Linked DNA regions of Yarrowia lipolytica. The protein of the gene in region 2 purifies or fractionates together with the protein of the main gene of each other region. This does not show direct contact. Links are inferred from orthologs where the notes say so. Each region holds a gene or a part of one and is shown on either strand. Other genes may lie near its edges.

The links.
Region 1: the proteins of YALI1_B00280g (region 2) and YALI1_D34758g purify together in Saccharomyces cerevisiae (affinity purification with mass spectrometry; 3 studies listed by BioGRID). This does not show direct contact. The link is inferred for Yarrowia lipolytica from reciprocal best matches to the Saccharomyces cerevisiae genes RTR1 and RPB11.

Annotation. Positions count from the first base shown.
Region 1 is NC_090773.1:3,474,788-3,477,895, forward strand, and holds YALI1_D34758g (uncharacterized protein), read right to left. Parts: upstream 1,368-3,108; coding exon 1,315-1,367; intron 958-1,314; coding exon 657-957; downstream 1-656. Other genes in the region: YALI1_D34739g (uncharacterized protein), read left to right, coding at 1-443. UniProt on the Saccharomyces cerevisiae protein: DNA-dependent RNA polymerase catalyzes the transcription of DNA into RNA using the four ribonucleoside triphosphates as substrates. Component of RNA polymerase II which synthesizes mRNA precursors and many functional non-coding RNAs.
Region 2 is NC_090771.1:26,246-29,310, reverse strand, and holds YALI1_B00280g (uncharacterized protein), read right to left. Parts: upstream 1,284-3,065; coding exon 534-1,283; downstream 1-533. Other genes in the region: YALI1_B00273g (uncharacterized protein), read left to right, coding at 1,936-3,065. UniProt on the Saccharomyces cerevisiae protein: RNA polymerase II subunit B1 C-terminal domain (CTD) phosphatase that dephosphorylates 'Ser-5' of the CTD and regulates RNA polymerase II during the transition from 'Ser-5' to 'Ser-2' phosphorylation.

The sequences.
Region 1 (3,108 bases), on a different chromosome or scaffold from region 2:
ACTCGCTGGACTTCAACCCCCACAGCGAGTTTCTGGTCGCAACAGGCTCAGCTGACGAGACCGTCAAGGTGTGGGATATGAGAAAAATGGACACTCCCATTTCGCAGCTCTACTCCCATTGCGACGAGGTGACCAAGGTGCAGTGGTGCCCCCACCAGCCCTCGGTTCTGGCATCTGGAGGACACGACCGAGCCATTCTCGTGTGGGATATTGCTCGTCTTCACGACGATCTCAGCTCGGATGAAAATGACGAGGGACCTCCTGAGCTTCTGTTCCATCACGGAGGCCACAGCTCGCGGATCTCCGACTTTGACTGGCATCCTACTTTGCCCTGGGTCATTGCTTCTGCTGCTGAGGACAATGTTATTCAGGTGTGGCGAATGGCTGAGAGTATCAGTAACGACGAGGCTGTTCCTGCTGATGACGTTGATATGGAGGACTAAGGAGGAAAACTTTTGTATAGTTAGCTAATATATGTATTTGTAAGAGTGGAGTCGTAGCTCATCTGAATGTGATTCCTGGACTTTACAGATACTACAAGTAGCTGTTACCGTACCTACTGTACCAGAATTGCTATTATACAATCATTATGCTATATGTTTATTTGTTATCCGTGTCAGTAAGCAAGTAGCTCACTCGCGCTTCTCTTTTTCCACCTAATTGTTAACCAAGTACCGCAGTCGCCATTCTCGCTGGAACTTCTCCTGCAAATCCGACAGCTGTCGGATCAACGCGTTGCAAGCATTTGTGAGGGCCTCCTGTGGCGAATAGTCGTCTTCGGTCTGGATTCGCAGCACAAAGTTGGCAAATAAAGGATGTTCCACCTTGTAGGCCGCAAAGATGACCCGCGAGTCGTGTAGCAGTTGTGATCGGAGCAGGTTGCCCAGTGTGTGATCTTCTTTCTCGAACTTGATGTTGGCGCAGTTGGGAATTCGAGTGTCCGGGGTGACCTCAAGTCTGTGTTAGGGGAGATAAGAGGAAAACGCTGTCACACATGCGATGGAGGTAAAAACGACATCGTAGCATGAAAGCTGTGGCGAAGAGCCTGCTCACAAAGGCCGTCCCATGGAGAGAGACTCGTTGATAGTGTCTCTCTCGTACAGACCCCATCATCATCACTGTAGCATAAAATGATCGAATCTGCACATTTCTACGTCGGACCTAGAACCACGGTAAACACTTGACCGTCCCTGATACACTGGCATCGCTTCAGAACATCAGATCAGTCTGTGTCCAAAACAGTCTTGAGAGTCGAAGAAGCAGCCCTGGTGCACGATCGTCGTTTATCGTCCCTTTTTCTCGCCAGATACTCACTTTGGGACTCCATCGGGAAGCAGAAACAACTCGAATCTATCGGGAGCGTTCATTTTTGGTTGTGTATGTGTTGATGCTGATAGTGACGGTGACGCCTGTGTGCCTACACAATCTCGCGATGTTTCAGGTAGGGTAATTTGGGTTTGGGAGTGGCTGGGAGTTCGATTCGGTGGTCTGCGTGTTTTTGAGTTATCATGTGTGGAGATGAGAACCTGATGAAGATTTACAAGTAGTTCATTTTTTGTAAGATCTGTTCAATTTACAGAGAAAAATCGTATTTTTTCTTGAATACTGGTGAGCGTACAGTATTTGTAGTCTTCTATGATGTTCTAAAAAAGACAGGAAAGGCTCTCAGGTTCTGACACTTACGATCATCATACGCTCGAGATGACAGTCTGATCTGATCCTGTAAGCCCTGGAGGCTTCCATAGTATGACCCAATTGTACGTATATTACCAATATAGCCATTGTACATCACTTTCCAATGTAACACAGTTCTGCTGGCTGCTTATTAGTGCTAACATGGAGACTCGAGAACAAGGCTACCATAGACGAAGACATTGACCCCTGTCGAGACCAAAGAAGATTGAAAGCGATCGGAAAGGAAATCAGCCACTTCTGCTTGTGTCACCAAGCCGGCGACAGGGTCTTAGTTGTCTTATTTGCCATGAATTTTGTATTATTCACCTTGCTCTGCAATATGGTTGAGTTGCAGGAGTTGCCATAATGGACAAGAACGACAATAAACGTGATAACGCACAATATGTGGGTTAACAGCCCTGTTCATTCAGATACTCATTGCAATATATTGATGGCTTTTCATCTTTCTAATGCGTCTTCCTCTCCTGTCCAACTTTCCTGGTTATTATCCATTCCCCAGATTCAATTACCCCACCATACATGTCCCCTCCAAGTCCCTTGCATCTAGACCCGCCAATATGGTCATCCACGCAATCTCTATAGACCAATCTTTGGTTATTGTAGCGATGGACATTAGCTCCGCTCTCTAATCCAGTGTTGTTGTTGTTGTATTATACATCTATACAAGAAGAAGAACAAAAAAAGGACCCTTCACCAATAGTTCTACCCACGGTACTTGTAGCTCGCTTAAGGCACATTCACATGGTTTCAACCTAATCATGGTGGGGCAGGTTCGGATAAATAGAAGCAGGTCTCCAGAGCTAGTGGCCACCACTGAACCACCATTATGAGCGAAAAGCTCCGCGAATTAAGGAGACGTCGAGAATTACCTCCTTTACCTGGGTGAGTGAGTTGTGTCTGTTATGGAGCTTGTAGCTCTTGTTGTGTGGCCGGAGGCAGTTGTACTGCAAGTGACGGGATTTTTCCCTGGGTGAAGAGCTACAAACCACTGCCAAAGGAGTCCAATACTCTCTGGCCGTCTCTACCAACACTATCTACAGTATGTGCCAGGCCCGGACATGAACTGCTACATTGTTCCTGATGAGTAAGCGTTTTATGCAGGCCTCTGCGTGTCTCAGATTAGGGTTGTAGACCCTGTCTAAGAACCGGTTACAGGTTATGACCAAAATATCTGGAAAAAAATGAGCTCTCTTTTCGGAGTCACCCTAACACAGCCCAAAAATCCCCAGCAACCGTTCCGGTGAGTATCTTGCCCGTTGGTCATTTTTCTGTCGCATAGTGTTGTGTGATGCAGTCATGCATTCCTCATGTAAGAGGTTATGACGCTGGCCCAATTTGAATTTTGCCTACTCTGTTTCCTTGCATCTTTCGCATCAGCAGACGACAAAAACGTGAGTGTCTAGCGGCTTCAAA
Region 2 (3,065 bases):
TACGGCCTTTACCGTATCTACTCACTCCTGAACCCGTCGCTTTTTTGTTTATACCTCATCGTAATATACATTTGTTCCATATCAGCTAGTAGCCATATAAATAGGAGACGAGCGTGGAGGCCGAATTCCTGCACTTTGCAATGAGACCACTCGCCTGTTCATGGAGACGGTATTGGAAGCCTGACAGATCAGAAGATGATACTCTGGGAGATCACAGCGCAAGATAGAGAGGAGACCTAACTCCAGAGAGTCACCCATTCAGACACTAGAAATTATACCACCTCGGAGAGTGTGACAGTGGTGGGCAATGTTCCACTGTCTCCTGCTGTGGCGTATGTCTAAGCCGCTATGTGGAGCTGGGCGTTCTAGTCGAACATGTGGTGCACCTGTCAGTGTTGCCGAATCCAGTCTAAAACCCAGCTGTCACTGTTTCAGATCTTGTTGCGATTCCCGTCTCATGTTATCGTCAGGAATCCACAACTTGATGTCGACGTTGCCTCAACCTGTCATGATAGATTCCTCAATCCGTCTCGCTATCTCCACTGGATTCTCGGCTTATAGCCCTCAATAGCACTGGCCTTATCCTTACTACTCATGTCCTCCAACGACTCGTAGTCTGGCTCCACGTCATTCTCGTCGTCCTCGCGCTCTCTCAGCGAAATCTCCTGGATCTCCTTGCCCAGCTTGGTGATCTCGTCTCCGTTGGCAGGAATGTTCATCCTAGCGAGCTCGGGGTCCTTGAGCGACATCTGCGTGAACCCCTCCACAATCTCAGCCATGGATTTGCCCTGCTGGGCGTCCGACGTCAGTTCCTCCAGCAGGATGATGCTGCCCTCGTACTGTTTGCACGAGCCATAGTCGCCCCAGATGCTGCCTCGCAGGTCCAGAGGGTCCGACGACAGCTGTGCACGATAAAACTGGCTCGCCTGGTAGTGCTGCTTGCTGCAAAAGGTCCGCAGATACGCCCACGGCACGTCAAACTTTTGGTTCTGGGCCAGCGTGCCGAGAATCTTGTTTTTGCCCGACGCAGACTTGGGCACCAGTCCGCACGGAGGGTACCCGCAGATGTGTTCGTAAGTGCGTTCGCCAACCAGCTCGTCGTACACCTCGGGGGTGAGGTATCGCGACGCGTACTTGAAGGTCTGGATGTCGGTTTTCTTCGCCGACAGAGCCTCGATCACGGCGATCGTGATGAGTGCAGAAAGCTGCAGGTTTGGCGGCTCAGACCCCGTGTTTCCAAACCGAGTTCGTAGCTTTTCGATTTCCTCGCGTAGTTGCAACATGAATGTGTGGGGGTTGTTGTGGGTGGTGTGATTACGCGTCAAATGGGGTGTATTTGAAGCCGTTTGAAAAATTGCGGTCGTTTGGTTGCCGTCGTGGATGTGATTATCGGCGGTTTCGTGATTTTCTCGATTTTTTTCCGATTTTTGCGGTTTTTTTTTACCGCCACTCTCAATCGTGTTGCTGTCGTCTGCCTTGCTAGGTGGTCAAGATGCTGAGTTTAAATGGTCTGCAACAGAGACCAGTGACCCGCATTGCAGCCAGACGTACGTTAATACGACAAGAGACGGGGGGACAACTGGAGGACCATGTAGAGAACTAGGGAGATATCTCAATACACAAAACGACCTTGCTTGGTCAGCACATCAGATTGCCACTTTCAGAATTCGATTTCGACCAATATTGCGGTTTCTGGAGAAGTTTTTAGCACAAAGTATTAATCCGGTGTAGATTTGTAATTTTGATCAGAAAAGTTTCAAACATGAAGCTGCTGACTAATTCAACGTCTTATAACGTCCACATTCAGCTTTTTACTCTCTAATCCCCACCAATTACCGCCCACATCCACCCATGTATTTCCCTCTCACTATTGACGTCAGGCAGATGGAAACTTTAATTTGATGTCATCTCCTATTCACTGCAAAATCCCCCACAATGCGAAGGCGAACCAACACGTCGGCGAAAAGCGACCGAATACGTCCGCGGCGGTCTCTGTCGTCTCCGTCGCGTCCGCGGCTGTCGTTTTCAGACTTTGAGGGGTTTGAACGGCCCGAAAACCCGCCGGTTCCACGCTCATTATGGGACTATCTCCAGGTGCACCTCCAGGGCGAACAGCCGTACACCGAGGAGAAAAATGAGCACCTGCTGTCGCTTATCAAGGTGCCGCTGAATCTGGAGATGATCATGGCCTTTGGATTTCTCACTTGCCTCGACTCCTTCCTCTACACGGTCACAATCATGCCTCTCAAGGTGGCCTCAGTACTATGGGGCATAGCCAAACGTCGGTCGACCCGCCACGTGACCATGACCAACATGAGCGACATCATCAAGGCTGTGGTTGTCATTTCGACAATGACCTTCCTGCTGCTCATTGACACCTCCAAGCTCTACCACAACATCAGAGGCCAGAACGCCATGAAGCTCTACGTCATGTTCAACGTGCTGGAAATCACAGACAAACTGTGTGCGGCTTGGGGTCTGGATGTGCTGGAGTCGCTCTTTTCCGCAGGCACCCTCAACAACTACCAGCGACTCGCGACATACATGGGTCTGTACATGGCTTACTCGGCTGTGCATTCAGGGGTGCTGCTGTACCAGATTGTGACCCTCAACGTGGCCGTCAACTCGTACTCCAACGCGCTGCTGACCCTGCTGTTGTCCAACCAGTTCAACGAGGTCAAGTCGACCGTTTTTAAGCGGTTTGAACGCGAGTCTCTGTTCCAGCTCACCTGTGCAGATATCACCGAGCGGTTCCAGTTGTGGGTGCTACTGGTGTCCATCGGACTCCGGAACGTGGTCGAGGTCTCCAATACGGGTCTCGTTCCATCGTCGTGGTCGGGCTGGAATCGATGGCTAGGGGCTCTGCTGGGTCCTGCTCTAGTGGTGCTGGGCTCCGAAGTCGCTGTCGACTGGCTCAAGCACTCGTACATTGCGAAATTCAACAATTTCCGTCCCAGAGTGTACCGCAAGTTTCTGGACGTGCTCACTCAGGACTATCACGAGCATGCATTCAATGACCAGCTCATTACTCGACGAATGGGCCTTCCTACCACGGCTCTGGCGTG